Linked DNA regions of Neodiprion lecontei. The protein of the gene in region 1 interacts with the protein of each later gene in a pairwise test. Links are inferred from orthologs where the notes say so. Each region holds a gene or a part of one and is shown on either strand. Other genes may lie near its edges.

Evidence for each region.
Region 2: the proteins of U6 snRNA-associated Sm-like protein LSm8 (region 1) and U6 snRNA-associated Sm-like protein LSm2 interact in a two-hybrid assay, tested with the Drosophila melanogaster proteins (2 studies listed by BioGRID). The link is inferred for Neodiprion lecontei from reciprocal best matches to the Drosophila melanogaster genes CG2021 and CG10418.

What each region holds. Positions count from the first base shown.
Region 1 is NC_060261.1:26,107,904-26,117,524, forward strand, and holds U6 snRNA-associated Sm-like protein LSm8, read right to left. Parts: upstream 3,902-9,621; 5' UTR 3,784-3,901; coding exon 3,753-3,783; intron 3,679-3,752; coding exon 3,638-3,678; intron 2,839-3,637; coding exon 2,711-2,838; intron 2,633-2,710; coding exon 2,542-2,632; 3' UTR 2,521-2,541; downstream 1-2,520. Other genes in the region: protein suppressor of sable, read left to right, coding at 1-311; THAP domain-containing protein 1-like, read left to right, coding at 4,294-4,355, 4,572-4,814, 4,882-5,057, 5,261-5,358; F-actin-capping protein subunit beta, read right to left, coding at 9,265-9,498.
Region 2 is NC_060261.1:37,241,850-37,251,508, reverse strand, and holds U6 snRNA-associated Sm-like protein LSm2, read right to left. Parts: upstream 5,827-9,659; 5' UTR 5,818-5,826; coding exon of another isoform or gene 5,723-5,817; 5' UTR 5,578-5,722; coding exon 5,575-5,577; intron 5,491-5,574; coding exon 5,423-5,490; intron 4,920-5,422; coding exon 4,829-4,919; intron 4,638-4,828; coding exon 4,512-4,637; 3' UTR 4,277-4,511; downstream 1-4,276. Other genes in the region: LIM homeobox transcription factor 1-beta-like, read left to right, coding at 1,003-1,422, 1,515-1,820, 2,318-2,416, 3,208-3,464; reticulophagy regulator 3, read left to right, coding at 6,595-6,821, 7,696-7,821, 7,946-8,042, 8,206-8,356, 8,476-8,604, 8,733-9,004.

The DNA.
Region 1 (9,621 bases):
GTAACAGTGGGGCTGGTTTGTTGGGCCCTGCACCTACTATGGGGGGATTCGGACATGACGGGCCAAATTACGAAGGACCAAATTATGAGGGACCGAATTTTTCACCTAGTAATTTCAACAACTTCGGACCTAACGATAACATGATGGGCTTTGGTCCCAATGGACCTCCACCTCCTAACTTTGGGGGTAATGGAGGGGACTGGAACGCAGGCAATCAAAATCAGAATAATCGGCGAGGGTCGGGTCGGATACGCAGACGAAATCGTAACAGAAGTAATAATAACAGTAGTAATAGAAGATCTCCGCCGTGAATTGTAGAATTGTATGCATACAGTGAGACTTGTAGCATCACATGTTAAAAGTGGTTAATAATGATGCCAACATGACAAGTAATATATGAGGCAGCTAAAATGAGCATGTGACCTAATTGAGTAAATTGGCTCTTGCTCGGATAAGTTAGCAACGAGATACTTCATCACATTACATTTGATAGACGACCGAGTAATCCCTGGGTACTGAGTATCCAGAAATCAATATTAAAGCTGGTACAGATTTGACAACATCAGTCAAAAAATTGCGAATCAAGTGTTATAATAATTGACCAGATTGTGCATCATCTGTATTCCGTTTTAAAGTTGTGTGCTTTAAGTATATTTCATTTACCTAGTAGTTATTCGATATTATATTTATCGATTGAAATAACTTTGCATTAAAAATAATCAGTACGGAATTTTTCCTTAGTTTTACTTCTTATTTTATATTTGAAGATGTGTTGCTTATCAAATCGCCATAATTCATTATCAAGGAAAATTATCTTCAAGTGGCTTGACTTGACATATTGTTTTCCCCTAAAATGCAGACCTATTCAATACAATCCTGAAACACATACTTTTTTGTATTACCCCTGTTATCTCCTCAACAACTTCAATTGAATTTAATTCACTTGTATTCCCCAAGCTCTCTTTGTAACCTGTTTTAAATATCCACTATAAGACATCTTCCACAGTTTACTATCATGTACTATTATTTACACAAGATGTAATATTTTGTTGCTATACATCAATTTTTCTTAGTTTTATTTTTCTTAAATTTATTACCACTGTGGAGAACATTCACGTCGCAATTGTAAAAATAGTTTTGGCAAAATGATTTCAAACTAGATATGTCAATTGATTCATACTAATCATGGAATCTGGTACGAAGTTTGAAATACAGAAATTAATATGTATCAATATGTTTAAGTTTCAATTCTGATTATTAAGACGGGCATCGGACAATATATACCAACGATTTTCTGTATACTGGTACATCACTTAATAACCATACAAATGAAATGATGTGAATTGATTAATGATTTCAATAATTACCGATTCATCATGGATAACAAATTAGACAGATTGATGATTGAAGCTTGTACATAGAGTTTCTAGTTCGAATTAGTTGGAGGAAAAAATACTAATAATGAAATTCATGACACAACTCCTTAATGATTGAATTTAAATTACTTACTACATGTGTATTACTTACCGATACTTGGTATTATGTATTCCCGTGTTATTTTTGTACGTCTTCCAACTGTACATACATACTTTACTAAGTTATCATCAGCTCAGACTCTATTATTGCATAATATTTACTTGATTGTTAAATTCAACTTTAATATTATTAATTTAAGATATATGTTAAAAAAATTTATAGAAGTATCATGTAATAAATCAATGATGCAACCTCAGCAAATACTAAATTTCTTATTGTTTGTTCATTGCAAACACATTTCGCTAAAACGAGAAAATTGAAATTTAGTGAATATATAAAATTAATATGGTGATTTCGAACTGAAAAATTATTATTATTCATTCATCTAAGAAATCATAATAGCAATCATATTTAAATATACATATTGTAATGACTCCCCCAGTGATATGTGAATAGTGTATATTTCCTGAATCAAATATGATGAAACTTAATTATTCTATGTAGAATTATCAGTGCTACAATTTATTTAAAACGTTTGTATCTATGCAGATATAGTTATATAACATCGTTTTTCGGCTATAAGCATTACTCATTTTTCCATCGCAAATAATATTATCATGCAATCGAAAATAAATTAATATCGTTATCTATAGAATAATATGCCTATAATTAACTTTAATACAAGTGTTTTATAATTTATGTAAAGTATTAGTGGGTAATATTACAAGATCGAGACTTGAAATAATCAGCAGTATCTTATTAACCTACCGTTTTATTCATATTTTTATTTGATCCAACAGTGCTCCCGGTGTTATAACTACAGTTCCAATGACTTAATCATGTTAGGGCACTGAGAAAAATTGAGTTGTTTTTTCTTTATTTCCATTTTGATATCAAAAATAAATAACCTGTTTCAATTCAATTCAGGCACATTTCCTTAAAGTTAAAAGTGCATTGAAAAAAAAAACCAAATATGTTGTAAGAACACGATTGCCAATTAGTAAAATGTGGAATAAAGTAAGGAGTATTCAGAAAAACGCTGTCTAAAATTTTTTTAAATTTATTTTAATGCGCTACAGAGCTAAGTGGTTCAGCTCGGATCGCTGAAAGATCAATTCTTGCATCCATCTCATCGTCTAGCTCACCAACGATTGCTCTGTAAATACAGGAATATTGGTTTACATGAATTACTGACATTCTTGAAAATGTACATTATTTTATTGTGCGTACATACACGTTATCTCCTCTGATAATATGAAGACCTAATACAACTTGTTCGACACCTTGCGTCACGCTGTACACACGCTCATGTGATTCATCAAGAATTAAATTGATTGTCTGATCAAATCCTTTCAATGTACCCTGAAACATAAACATAGTTCAGAATATTCGATGATGTTAATGAATAGGAGTAATAGAATAGATAAATAATAAAGATTTTTATTATTATCGACGCCTGCGCATCATTGATGTGAAAATGCTACACTCAGTACAATGCTACATCCAATGTTGACTACAAATAGCCAAAAAAAAATTTTGACGTCACATTTGAAGAAATGTATTCCTGTAATTATATCACCACTTATTGCAAGGATACACTTCTTGGTATTATTCTTGTATGAAACAACAAAGGTTTGGATGTTTTGGTTAGACATTGCATGTAGTACTGCGCTGACTGTGGCACTTTCACATCAGTGTTTTGTAGGCTGTGATCATAGCCAAAGTAAATGACATTTAATGTTGTCAATCAAGATTAATTATAGCATTCTCCTAAGACTGATTAATGTACAAGAGTTATACAATTAGTCAATTATTTTTCGTCCTACAAAAGGCTAGATTCACAGTGCCTAGGCAGCTGAGAACGACTGTGTAGACAACAGCGTGGTTGGCAGCCAGTAAATTTTCATAGCTTTACAGGAACACACTTTTTGGTATAAAGCATCTCCATCAGATGGTGCAGTGAAATCCAACTTTTTATGTTATTTCCCAGAGCAAGTTGGGCTTCGTCATACTCTCGTCAGATTTAATAAATTACGATATTCTGTTGCTATCCGAAATCACACACGAGCTAATAACTACGCTATCGGTTCGCGACTGCGTCACCACAGCGATTCGTTTCACAGAAAAAAATTTTTTAAAAGCTAGATCATATTATACTCACGATAAAGTTCCTACCATCGGAAGTTATTATTGAAACAGTATCTAGTAAACATTGAGGAAACATAACCTTTATGTAATTAAATTATAAATACAACTTCGGATAGGAAAAAGGATACGGTTTACGTAACTTTCAAGTCCTGAGGCCATTGTTGGTAAGGGTAGAACAGGTTGGCCAATGTAATCAGTAGAAGCAAAATACTTCAACAAATCGTTTTGTTTGTTTGTATTATAGCGTTTTCCACTTCACCAGTTAACGCTGCAACGACGCCATCAGTGTAATCGCAGAGTTGCCAAATAAATAGCACCGCAAGTCACCAAAAGGAAGCGCACAGCTAACCTGATGTCTTGAGGTGGGATTTAATGGGCTGCAAAAATTGTAGCAGTAGCAGTAATCTGCAGTAATCCCATAGTAATCCACTGAAAGTTACTGGCGCTTTCGGCGTAAGTTTTTGCTGTTTAAGGTGCCGCTGACCCACTGATATATATGTACACTGGATTGGATTAAGCGTGGTGCCGTCACGCCAATTGAACGGTAGCCATTTTGTACAGATTCTTGTCACTTCAGATATATATATATATATATATATATACGTGATATATGTATGTGTATATAATCGATTGCGACGGAAAATTACAGTAACAATTATTGAGGTAACAATGAGTACCTGCGTTTTTTGCAAAACAAAGCAATCAAAATATCGTGGGCGATCATTTCACAAGTGAGTATACAACGCTGAAGCGTTCTGCAAATGATAACTTGCAGAGGTTATGTCAGCATACGAAGTATTTACTAATTATATTTAACGAGTATTATAACGTACGAATCTTGTCAGTAAAAATTCACAATATTTGAATTATGAACCGATCTTATTATAATTGAAATTGAAAACTCGGGTATTATTGACTGAGGGATTAAATTATAATTCGATATGTAGATTTCCCGTGAAAGATGTGTTGCGCGTTCAGCATTGGTTAGAAGAAATGAAGAGGGAGGACTGGAAGCCAAACCGAAATAGCACATTGTGTTCAGCTCATTTTACAAATGATTGCTTTGATAGGACAGGATTCCTAATTACATTGAAAAAGAACAGTGTACCAACTATATTTGACAACCCAAAATCAGAGTGTTCATCTTGTCACCGATTAAAGGAATATGGACGTGGCTATTCATTCTTCAAGTAAGTACCGTTACTCAATGCAACATAACGTGTGAATTAATAAATTTAAACTTTGCTTGTTATGTAGGTTCCCATTGGATGAACCTGATATTATGAAGCCATGGATCGCAAATATAAACATTGGACCGTGGTCTCCATCAAGTGATAGCTTTCTGTGTTCCGACCACTTTGAACTCTCTTGCTTTCAGAAGAAAAGTAAAAATTATATAACTTTACGAAAAGGCAGTATCCCAACGTTATTTGGTGAGATCTGAAACTATTAATCCCTATTAGGTCAGAGAAAACTCAGTGTGCATAAAGACACGTTGATGTGATGCACTATTGCGTCAATGCCGTCAAAGCGGTTAATTACCTACAGATTATAAAGTGCTCTGTTACAGAAAAATCGTGTGTGACACATTTCTGTGTATTTCCATTGTCGTTATTTATTAGTAACTTATCTGTAGGTGAAAACTTGCAGCAGACCGAATTTCAGGATGAATCCGATCGGCCCACCACAGTGAATGTAACCAAATTACATGATCACCTACACATTTGTACCTGATTTGCATGCTCAGGTATGTACATCTTTTTTATTTTCTTTTGATTGTGCTTGTAACTTTTTCTTCATGTGAATGGATTGTGGATTGATACTACTAATTATATTACGGTTGTGGTTTATCGCACGCAACTCTATAAAAATGCCTTAACGTTTGCAAGGAATGTTTTATTCTCCATATTTTTGAATAAAGTTTTTACTCACCCAATTCGATATAATTTAATTCAAAACTTTTTTTACATGTCTTAAGCTCCACTTTGATGATCAATGGATGGTAAATGGATTCCCTAACGGTTGAATTAGTGTTATACAAATTTTTGAATAATCCGTATGGAATTCAGCCCACCATAGGATAGAGGATAATGGACGGAAACTTCTTAGAATTGAGGACTTCTTTTGAACATGAAGAAAAATCACGCTTAAATACAAGTTTTTCGTCATATTATTTAATGATCTTTTACATCATATAATTGTAAATAATAACATACCTTCGAAAAAATGATTTGTTCTTCATTTAATGTATCAAACATTATTTTACTCGTCAAAAACTTTTTTGTGTGACGAATATATCGTTAGACCTAAATAGCATATATTACGCAGTTCAAATCTAGCGCGCATTTTGTGACAACTTTCTGTACAAGATGGCGGAAATTAAATTGTTCAATTGGACGCACGAGCTTACACGTAGAGTATACGGTAATATCCAATCCAGTGTATATATATATCAGTGCGCTGACCTGGATCTAAAAGTTGTAATCGATCGAAGCGCTCTCTGCGTAAGTTTCCTCGGTTCCAAACCATTCGAAGGTGGTACTTTCCACCGGGGAGTAGCGCAACACAATATTAGACAAAACGCGGTCGGTAAAGGACCTGAATCTGAGTCGGTAACCAAACCAACAGGATTGACCCGAATTTTGCATGCAAATAATGACGTCATGTGTGTAGCGATTGCATCACGACCGAACTGATTATTTTGATGGTTTTACGGTGAATATCGCAAATCCAATTTGTTGTTCCGTGAAACACCCTTGAATATGGGACATTCTTTGACGAATCGGACAGATTTAGATAAAAATAGACCGACACAATTTTGATGTAGCTTAACATTTTTTCACGGGTTCTATATCAAAAAAATAGGGATACGTATTCCAGGATTTTTTATTTCACATATTTCGTAAAATAGAGGGGATCGAAAGTTTGATAATTTGGTATTTTTTGGCTTGGAAGACTCACTTTCAAAAATTCATAACGCCGTTTCTGTTTGAGCTGAAAAGTTCGTTTTTTCAACCCAAACCTAATAAAATGAATTTTAATGCAACAATTCTTTCATTTACGATTATAAATAGACAACTATAAATCAACGTTCAGCGTCTAGTCTTTCGTTTCAATGAAAGAGAACTGAAGTTGTTTTTTAATCACTTCCTAATAATTGCGTTCGTTAAACAGTTTCGCGACGAAGAATTTTTGATTTTCTGAAACCTAACGAAGATCAAAACTCGTTTAAAAAGAGTTCGAATTTTTTTCGTTCGTTAGGAAACACTTTCAAAAGAAACTGTTACATTCATCCGGATTGGAAATCTGAATTTACGATTTTATATGAATTTTTAATTATTACATTCAAATTACTGGCACTAAAACAGTGCCACACTGAGAAAAATTCATTTCTTACAGTAACTAGAAAAATTGAGTAAATCAGGTATCATTAAAAAAACTGTTTCAATATTGTTGGAATTACGAAAAACGAGGTACATGTAACCATTGTACGCTGTTGTCGGTTTACTCTACTTTTTTAGTTAAATAAGGCTTTAGCGTCAATTTATTGTTGCACAAGCATTAAATTTTCCTAACAGTTAAAAGAAAGTATAGCAACAGTGATCGTAATGAAAAAGAATAGTAACGGATACTAGAAAACTAATTTTCATTTTCTACCTAGAACTATATTTTCCGATTGTGTTAAAAAATGAAAATAGTCAAGGACTGAGCGGTAACCGGAATTAAAAATTTCAGTCCAATGAAACAATAGTGTTTTTCGATACTAGTGCTTGAAGGTGGCAATGCCCGCACAAGCGTGAAGGCGCAGCACGAGCCCGTAGACGAGTTGAAGGGCGAGTGTGGCGCATTCACGCGAGATAGGCATTGCCAACTTTCGCACTAGTATCGAACCCTATTTTTTGCTACACCTGTAATGGAAAGTCCGACATACACGATTATTTTTACACGAAACCACGGCACGATGTCTTTTCAGTGATGATGCAGCGATGTCGAGCACGGCAAAGAGTGACAAACTATTCCATCGGTGGCGCTAGTGCAGCTGTTTGCGAAATGCGCAACTGTGGATAAAAGCGCGACCGTCTTTTTCGCACACCGCTAGCAATGTGCGAAGGTTGATCTTATACCGCCGGCAATGTGCGAAGGTTTTCTTTCTCACATCCCTAGCAATGCGCGAAAGTTTTTCCCGCACACGTGTATAAAAGACTACTTTCGGTGCTTGTAAATGGTGCATAAAAATGGACTTTCCATGCAGGTGTTGCAAAAACTATTATAACAGATAGCGCAACAATTAATCTTGAATTTTCTTACACCGGATGGAGGTATTTTTTGGTGCGCTTGTTTTTTCGAAAAAACGACAACAAACACCGCAAATAAGCCAGAATCGTTACTGAAAATCTCGTCGATAGCTACAAATTTGACCACTCTCAGCGGTACTCGTACTCGGGCTCGACCGCTATAAGTCTGTGGCTCGCGCATGAATTTTTTTTCAATTTACTTGGAGCACTATTCTACTGAGCCTAGTTATAAGTTTTGTACAGTAATAATTGATTCATCACAACATTCGCAGTCCTTGATCTACTAGACCATACGAAATTGAGTATAATAGTCCTTCAATCGCAACGTTCTAAAATATTAAATTCAAGCGATTTGGTACTATTATTACATTATCAGAATCGCTGAAAAAAAAAATCTTGATTTGTTTCCTATGATAAATTTCAAGTGTGATTTTAGTAATAATTCGAAGTGAAGGGACATAATAATTATTATTGGGCGATATATTTTTTTTCATTTACCATTCACTTTAACGATATCTATTAGCCACGCAAATACGTGTTCACGCATTAACATCAGCCAGGAAACTTTTATTGCAGTATATAACATATTTCATCATTTGCAAATAGGTGGTTAAAGTATTTTAAGGATGTTACCACGTGACCAATTTAAGAGTTTCTATGAGAAGCTCATTCTTTTGTGAAACTTTGAATCGAATTGGAATTTATGTAGAATGATCGTGTGATTTTCGGAAAGTGCGCTCTGGTAAGCTAGTGCTGAATAAGTATCTTGCAGATTTTTCATTTAATTACACCGCGAGGCAGGTTTTGAGATTATATTTTACAAATTATTCGATAATCAATTCATATAATAATTTATTGGTCCTAGCTGACCAGAGTGTACTTTCTCAAGACGATCACATCACAAAGAATTGTAAATCGAATCGACGTTACGACACCACGTGCAAAACACTTTAAGAATGGTTCACTTTGCAGACCGTAGTAAAGTAGCAGACTCACATGTTTGCTCATTTTACAAATTCGTGACATCACTTCAATTCTTTGGAATAAATTATAATTGCAAATTGAATATCAAATTAATTCGCATTGATGTGTCAAACTGAAATGAGGTTGCTGGCGAATTCAAAAAATCGAAAGGGGATAATAAAAATTATTTTGAAGTTAGTGAACCATGTGACAAAAACAAAGGATGTTTGAGAACAAACAAATCAACTGCTAAAACCGTTGAGATGAAAATTTTCGATTGCAAAAAAAGATAACAACTTGACGCGACATTGGCCATTGCAGCTTGTTATTATGTTTTTCTTTCCTAATCACAATCGTAATAGCCCTCGTACAGCTCGATAGATCAATTATTCGCATTCCTTTTTTGCAAAGCTGCAGCTAAATCTTGCTTAAGTGCAGCCTGTTGTCTTTGATCCGCCAGTAATTGGACCGATCTTAAACCGTTCACTATATCTTTTGTTTTGCTAAAATATATCTCGTTCAGCGTATTTCGAATTTTATTTTCCATATCCTCTACCATTCGACCAATGTTGGCAATATGAGGTGATGTCTCGCTTAGTGCCGCATCCTGTTCGACCTGAATAAACAAAAACATAAAAATTAGATTGATTTATTTGGTCATCCGATTACATGACCTTAATCGAACAAATTGCAGAATATTGCGAAGTTAGAATAGATTTAGACATTAACAACAGAAATG
Region 2 (9,659 bases), about 11 Mb from region 1:
TATCGAACGAATTGCACTTTCCTAAATTCGATGCGTTCAGACTGACTTCTCGGCTAATGCGACAGCCAATTTACGTTCCTGACTAATCCGTCCGTGATATTATATCGATGTGTTCCGCGCGGATCCAGAAGAAGCACGAAAGCGCGGAGCAAACGCAATAACACCGCAGGTCATAGCTTGTACTATACGTGCTTAGGACGTGGATATAGAATATAATACGCGGGTATGTATTTGCACAAAGCTACGCGTATGTGCAGAGTGCCTTTATTGGCACTCGAAGTGGCGTTTGAATGACGTATCTCTCGTCAAATACTTGAATTCCTCCCCGTGGTTCAACTCCGGGCGCTGCAACAGATGTCGATCAGCTCTCGCAGTAGCTGCACCAGACTCCCGCCGAGCCATCCGATGAGCTTTTAATTTTTAAATCGTCCGGTGCTCTCGCTGACGTAAAAATAATCAAAAGAATTTTAATAAAATCACATGAGAATCACTATAACCAACGACGAACTACAGGTCAACCGATATTATTTACTCAGCAAAATATACCGTTTAATGATGATCAGTGAAACTGGTCATTTGTTTGTACGCAACGTTCGCAAACAATACAGGGAAAATAGTTTGATCTTAAATTGTATAGATGTAAACAGAGTCAAGGTTGATTATTATGGAACCACAGTGATAGTATATATCTAACGTAGTATTCGTTTATTTTCTAATATCTCCGAATTTTCCAGATGTCGTGGAATAAGTATACGTTACTTTTTCCCTACAAATTTGAATTGGTTTATAAGTAATTTTCCGAACTTTCCGGTGATTGTTATCACATCGAGTTTAATAATGATCTGCTAATTTTAATCATATAACGCAATAGTTGGACAATTATTTTTCTTCGAATGTCAATAACTAATTCCGATATTTATATTTTTAACCAAACACCGGGACTTGTTCCAGTTTTTCAGCATCACAACAACCCTGCTCATTGTACAATTGTTATTGTTAAAGAGCCAACGGTGTCGGTGAAGACGGAGGCGGGACTCCTAGAGGCGATTTGCGCAGCTTGCGGTCGAGGCATTGCGGACAGATACGTAATGCGAGTAGGAGAGAAAAGTTACCACGAGGATTGCCTCTCTTGCGCTGCATGCGCGTCTCCCTTGGTTCACACCTGTTTCACCCGGGATCACAAGCTCTACTGCAGGGTGGACTACGAGCGCATATTCGCGGTGAAGTGCAGCCGATGCATGGAAAAGATTCGATGTTCGGATCTCGTGATGCGGGTGGCCGGCCTCTTCTTTCACGTCGAATGTTTCGCCTGCTGCATGTGCGGACAGAGCCTTCCTCGAGGGGCTCATTTCATCCTGAGACAGGGGCAACCCATATGTAGAAGAGACTTCGAGCACGAGCGTTACGTTCACAGTCCTCAAGGTATGCGTTTGGAAATATTTTACCCCTGCAATCATGAGCGCGTGAGCATAACGATGCAACTAAAAGTACTACTTGGCGTCGAATGTTTCCAGACGACGACCTCCTGGACGAAAGTCGACCTCCGGACGGGCGTCGCGGCCCCAAAAGGCCCCGCACTATTCTGACTTCCGCTCAGAGACGCCAGTTCAAAGCGTCCTTCGAAGTGTCGCCTAAGCCTTGCAGAAAAGTGCGCGAGGCTCTCGCCAAAGACACTGGTCTCAGTGTTCGGGTCGTGCAAGTCTGGTTCCAAAATCAGAGGGCGAAGATGAAGAAACTTCAGAGAAAAGCGAAGGCGGAACCTGGCGCCGAAAAGGAACCGAAGGAGGAACGCGCCGGGGAAAGTCCTCACAGCGATCACAGTGAGTTTTAAACTTTGCGCGGAACTCTCTGTAATTAATACCGAGCCTCACGATCCCCTCTCCGATCACGATTGACTACTTATGTGAACCTACGTCGCAAACTTCGCCAACAGCGATCGAGAATAAATGCTCGCGTTATTTGCTCCTCTCCACTTTCTTTCTTCCTTTCATGTTTCTCAGTCTGTCAGTCGACATGCGAAAACGTAAATCTTAAAGAGCAGAGCCCCCGCCTAACTGCGGAACGGATATTGCGAGGCATGTGTCACCGGGTGACGGGCGTTAAATTCCTGGGAAGACGACCCCGCGAAGTCTTGTGTCGCCCAGAGGCATAAGGGAGGTCTTTTACCCCGTCAGTTTTATAAGTTAAAGAATATAAGGAGGGGCTCCGTGGCACCGAGTCTCTCTCTATCTCTCTCTCTCTCTCTCTCTCTCTCTCACTCTCTCTCTCTTCCGCAGTGTGGGTTTGTCACCTTTCTTCTATGCCGTCTCGTTCACAGGTCATTACTTGAACGCGCTGAGCATGCGCGACGGGGATTCTTCCAGCTTCCCTTCGGCCACGCAGCCGCTCAACCCCAACAACCCTTACTCACCCGACGGTAAGTTGTTGACGCTTCACCGTCGCCGCCGCCTTCGTTTCCCAAATTTTGCCCAACCAGATCCGACACGAGCTTTCGTTCACGTGTGAAATGTCCATGCGCCGAGAATAACTTCATTTTTTGCAGTCAATGGAAAATTCTACCAGGAAACATATCGTCACAGAAACAGTTTCGATACTGCGGAAATTACTGTTGTTAGTACTGGTATTACTATTGAGAGCGCGGATTGTAATTGCCAGTACTACATTTTCTGACTATTCCAACATTGAATCTGTTTGTTTATTTCCCTTCATTTTTCAGCTAAACAAGGCCTTGACAACAATTTATTGTTGCAACAACATCAATTTATCGCAATAGTTACAAGGACCATGATCAAAGAGAATATTAACACATGCATATATGTATATACCATACTAGATTTACAGATTACAGCTATAAAACTCATTTTTATCTTTGACTCTGAAATATATTTTTTCTGATAACGATAAAAAATTGCACCGTGCAGTAAACACGACTGGAAATGTCACTCATCGTTAGTGCAGAAGCTCGCGATCCTCGAACTTCGCTCTCAATTCCTTCCCCATTTCCTTCTTCGAGAAGACTATTTTATTCGATATACACTTTGCATCGTTGGCTCAGTTTATTTTTTGTGGGTTAATTCACTGAGGATGAGCGCACTGCGAAGTACCTAAGAATAAATCGAACCTTGTCTTACAGTTGACTGATTTTAAATACCAACCAAGATACTCTGATGTTTTCGATTTTGCATATTTTCCTCATCTGCGTTTCAGACACATACGCGGGACATTCCGGCGAGAGTTTCTGCAGCAGTGACCTTTCTCTGGACGGTACCGAGGCCGGGTTCGATATCGGGGATGGGGATAACGGGGGCCCGGATGGGAGTCATCCTGGTGGGCCTCATTCCCATCACGGACCTCCCCCGCACGAAGCGCCGACACTTTCCCAGAGCCTACACGCCGCGATGCATAATCCGATAGACAAACTCTTCATGATGCAAAGCAGTTATTTTAGCGGCGAACATGCGTAGGGGTTTGAGCCTTGGAGCCTGGGGCTTGATCAAGCTTAAACTGAAACTTACGCGTAATGAATTTCACTCGAAGATTATTTTTCAAACGAAACGAACAAAGTACGCGCATGTATGTAGATGTACCTTTTACGAGTAGAGATTCAACGACCTGCTGTGTAATATTGTTCTAGTCAGGTTTTCTTCGATGACCCGTAGAATTGGTAAACTATTATTGCTGTCGTTCGAGTTGTTGATTTTTAAACTTACTTCCTTCTCAGATACCGATTATTTTGATCAACCAATACTATGATTACTTATATATATTTTAATTTATTGAAAAAAAAAAAATTAATCACCCAGTTACGTATATTTATTTCATCGTATATAGCTAAATCCAAAGAATAATCCGTTGCTTTAGTTTTACCGTATATATATACTTCGTTGAAACATCGATTTTCAGTTTTAAATATGAAGATTGATACCAAATAAAAGAGATGTAGAAGAATATTTGTATTTACGTTTAATAATAAGTGTACTTTAATATATTATAATAATAAAAAGTTGCTAAACCAAATATCGTTACCGAAAAACTGTAATATGGGAGGATTCTATTTGGTTTTGGACAGAAGTAATGATATAAAAAATAATTATTTTCAACCCGACCTGATTAGCAATAGATACGTAAATTCAAAAATTCTCTTGGCAACAAATCCCGAATAAAATGACATAACACTGTACCTCAAGCACGTATGGGATAAATAATTACACAAAATAATCGTTCAATTTCTCATGTTATTCAAGACCCAAAAATTCGCAAAAAAATTGCCATCTGCTATTTGTACAAAATAGGTTTTATTTGTAGTTTCTTACAATCATGTTGCTTTGAACTTTCGCCAAACCGTTGACAACAGATTCAGTGATTTGTTACAAACGTGAATAAACACCCGTTTCGTAAATTAAATTTAAATAAATTAAACTTTATCAATCAAACCGTACTGAACATAACTGTCTATAATACGTCTTATTGTAAATCGTAACATACATGTAAGCATTACTGGTACTGATTTGTTATCGGGTTTGTACAGCTGCCTCTTTCCGTGCAGCATCTTGCAAAAGCTGTGTATCAACCTCGTCTCCAGGAAGTTGAACGTACCTCACTACAGAACCACGAATGAAACAGTTTTTCACTGACAACTGTAACAGACGACCAAAAATTGGATCAAGTAATTCTGTACTGCCGAATCACAAAATTAAGGAAAGTAGGATATCTCCAGACATAGAATAATTCAAGTAAATGTTTAATACGTGTTATTGTGTACTGGCTTCGCCGGATTATAGTTTCTTATAACATGCATTACTGATCAACATGTGGTAACTTTACAAACCATGTGAGGATATTTATCTGGATCCGTCACACTGATGTCTGTGAGCTTGATGTTCAGATACTGGTCCACAGAGTGTAAGGTACCACAAATACTGAAAATATAATAATAACAACGGTGAGTAATTGGTATTTGCAAAAGCTGACTAAGAATAATACATAATGCAAGTTTGATCAATATTTAGATTGCAGACAGAAATGAAAAAATGGACTGAGTTACAATCGGTCAGAAAAGTGAACAGGATTGCTTGTTAACTTAGAATGGATACAGAAAAAAAACTTGTAACATTTGAAAATTGTAATTGGAGCTTTCAAACATATCGTATGATAACAACAATAGAAATAACTCTCACAACTCAAATAAAACGAATAAAGCTCAAATGACAAGTTTGAAAACCGAGTGACAACAAACTGAGAACACTGACTATCTGCAAACCCGGAATTTGTATTCATATTTATTCAAGTACATGTATGTGGACCATTGACGTTGTTGAATTTCTCCGTATCTTCCGAATCTCGAATACTGAATGGAAGTATATTTAACCACGGCAGATTATGCGGAGAATGTTTACGATTTATTGTTGCATATTTACGTTACCTCAGGTCATTTTTCAACTCCACTACGACGTCCTTCCCGACCAAAGATTTGAAAAACGAGTAGAATAACTGTAAAAGAGAAGAAATAAGACCAATATTACAACCCCTCAACTGTAGATAATATACAAAGACGTTTTTAAATATTTCGCTAACCATTTTTACCGAACAACATAGAAAATCACAGGTTATGTGTCTCGTTCAGTTTTGGAGGTTATGCCGCTTCGTTACAAAACCGAACATAACGCTCTCACACGCAGCTAGATATCGATAGTTCAGATGCCTAGTTTTAGGTCGATAGTCGATGGAATGTCGAGGTATCGTATTGATAAAAGAATCATGGGTTAATGCGCGCGGGACGCATGAGCGGAAGGGACAGGCAACTTACGTTCCCAATATGTACGTATAGGTACGCACAAATGTGCAGAATAACGCTAATGACTTAACAAATTTTGGTAAAACGTCAATTGAAAACTGTGAATAAAATTAAAATTTATAATCGATGTACCGTATTGATTCGTACGGTATAGAAGCTCCGTTATTTGGCCTGGATCGGGTTGAGATTTGGATGTAAATGTACATAGTTGGGAACAAAGAGAAGAAATGTGATAAATACGGTTTACGTAATTTAAAAAGGATAGATATATTTAAAGCGCTCCAGCAGAGAAAGGAAGGTACGCGAATGCACCGGACGGAGAGAACAGCATGGGGAATATCCAGGTCGGAGAAGGACGGTTGAACGTTGCGAGGTGGTGGGGGTGAACCACATGGTTCCCAACATCAGCTTCGCTGTAGGCAAACATCGCAATTTTCACGAACCATTAGTGCGAAAACGTAGTTGAGACCTACGCAGTCCTAAGGATTGCGAAGATACTATTACGCGTTTAGGGCTTGATGTGAGCTTCTATTGCGCAGCGATTATCGGAGATCTTACTGTTGCGGTTGTCGACGGGGACAAACTCTCGTGTGTTAGGAATAAAATAGAATAAAAGACGGAGAAAATTTCTACCGAATAGATCAAAGGTAGAACACAACAAAGTGGGGGTGTGTGCCTGACTGTCGCAAAATTTCGTTGTCACGCGCTAAAAATAATACGGAGACGAGTTTTTAACAGTGCCATGCTGGTTAAAAACAATAACTGATAAATCATTTAGGAGGTTTTTTTTTCATCAAGTCATGGAGAAATTAACTAACATCGCGTATTATTTTCGTTGGAGGCTTCGGGAGAAGGAAAATGTCCCCGAAAAATACGACGAAAGTACGTCCGAAAATAATCGTCCCGGAGACGTTAAGTACAACTTTAATACGTCCAACAGATTTTTAACAATTCTGGAAAGCATTTTGCTCTGGGAGAATTCAGTGAATAGTATCTCTGTCGTCATTGTCTTCAATTTATTGTTCTGGTAAGTTGCACGATATTACCCGTTGGCTGAATATTTTTTCTCTTTTTCTTTTTATCGCATACTAAATTTACCATACTCTCATAAAAATTGATTTGCAATTTATATGATCACAAAAGAAGCTAACACGTCGTGCCACCTTTTTCAACATTTTCTGTTTATACCTCTAAAAATGTTTCTAGCGATAACAATGAGAATTTAAAATTTGCAGAATCATATAAAATCATACAAGTTAATGAATCGAATATTGTAAGAGTAAAAAATTTATTTTTCTCATATGAAAATAAATTATAACTCTCGGTCTGCTGGCGTCTTTCTTCTTAACTAAAAATTGATTTTGTAACATGGTAAAGTAGAGGTATTGAAATTTGATGGTGAAACATAGCTATTGCCGTAAATTTGTTTCAACGTCGTATGTGTACATATGAGCAAATGAACTTTACCTATACAGTCTAACTCCGTAGAATGTAATGTATTAATTATCAGCTGTTCACAGCGTAGATATTCACAACAAGCTATCGGAAGACAGTGTGAATTTGTATATAAACTTTAATGAGATACTATTGCAATGTATTATTCAGCCTTGAATATGTATAATCTGTTTTTTTTTTACTGATATGAACACATGATCGTACTCAATTCTGTGCGACCAGTATTCAGGAAGTGACGCTGGAAGATAAATCAGATCTTATCTGTAGTGGTGATACACAAACTTGTTTTTTTCAATTGATAGAACATTTTATTGAACCTTTGACTCATTATAAGTCTAATTACAAATTTTTACCTGTTACCGAACATAACAATCAAAAAACTATGATCTTCGATATTTTAGCATAACTACGAACAGTTATACATTTATTTATCTCAATTTTTTCAGGGGAATTGTCGTATTGGAGGTTCGCGGTTTTGCGGCAGCCAGCAGTGCTGCGCTAGTCGTGGTCCTCTGCTACAGCACCCTTGAGACACAGGCCCAAAAGGATAATAAATCACCAACTGTAGCGACGTAAGTTATTGCTTTTGACATTTCACATTTGCATGGATTCATCGGTAAGAGATTTTCTTCAATGTAAAATTTTTGGTTATTCGATAATGATAAATAACCCAGATAACAAATCATGTGTTTACAGCCCACATGTCAAGTCAGAGCAGCTGAACAAAATAGTTCGTCAGCTAAAGTCTGGTGTTGACAACCTCAAGCAATTGCGCAAACAACAGCCAGGAGTGGTAGGATGTTTTCATTTAATAAATATTACATCATTATTTTTACTTATTTGAGTTTAATCGCGTTCCTTCAATTCATGTGCCAAATTTATTTTAATCTTATCTATAGCTGTTGAATGATATAAAAATAAGTATTTTCTATTATGGCCTTTCCTTTTCCCTTCAGTTCTGCGCTTCTACTTGTGCAGTTTCGTTGGGTCTCTGGCTGACAGGACGAGCAATTTCTGGGACACTTTTAGCTTACACAATTTTAATGAGTATCTTAGTAGGACCTGGGATTCTTTTGCATATACCGTGCAAAGTTATGACGTCTAAAGGTGAATGACAAGTGAGACTTGATCAAGATAAATTGCAGCTGTTTTGGATAGAGTGTTAAAATTTTTGAAGAACTAACTCTGTATTTACCAAGCATTAATCTGAAGAATTATTCTTACAGAATGGGATAGCGAAATAGAAGAGTTTCTACCTGCGGTTACAGAAGATAACTTACAAGTGTTAAAGCGAGCAGGAGAAAGTGGGGATCAAAGTCTTACACCGACTAGTTTGTCAGTGGAAAATCAAATTGGTACAGTTTTCACACTTTGATTTGTAACAATAGCAACACTGCTGAGGGTTGAAGTCATTTTTTCACATTACTGATACTTTAACTCCGAGATAGTTTTCTAGTATCTTATATAGTAATTTCACTCACAGATCCTCTTAATGACAAAGAATTGGTTGGTCTAAGAATGCCTTCCCATGAAGACGGTAGCACGGACGGTTTGGAACTGTCCGAATTGGAATTAAGTACCGACGATGTTGAAGTTGATGGCATTAAGTTCCAAAGTGGTCATTTTGAAAGAGGATCATCATCTGAGGAAGAAGCCGAACTTCAGCCACAGAAAATTTCTCAACATAGCGACGACAGCGACAGCGAATTTGAAATAATTGACACTCGTGAAGTTGTAAATGTCAAGAACGTTTAGAGGTTTGACATAAATTTTGTGTAATATATAACAATTGATAATATCTCGCATCTGAATCAATCACACCATTTACCTGATTTGGCTGTGAAAATGATGAATGTTGGCTTTTACTTGAATATACGATACACAGTAAGTAAAAATGATGAATGCTGGATTTTACTTCAATTTATAATACACAGTACGTAAAAAAAGATTAATTTTGAATTCAAAATAATGAATATTATAACCAAATATACGGGTATATAATTCTTGAATTACTTTGTTCAATGTAAAAGACGTGATTACAGATATTGGTTGGGATACGGTTAACTGGTTCTTGGTAATATCAAAGTGGTGTGATTATTCTTAGACACAAGAAGGTAGATTTTAACAGGTGGATATAATAATTTTGATATAATTATTATTACAAATATAACAGGCAAGACTCAGATATGTGTCATGCTTGTTTCGAAAATTTGCAATAAAATTTAGCAATGAATTGGATTCCTTAATTATTATATGATATTACAGATATTTTCAGATCTTGATTATAATGTACATCAATGGCAATTTTATTCTTAAAGTATAGATGTGGACATGGGTTTTGTGATGCAAGAAATCGCAATTATTTTATCTAATAATTTATGTCAACCACTCAACTTGAACAAAATTGTGA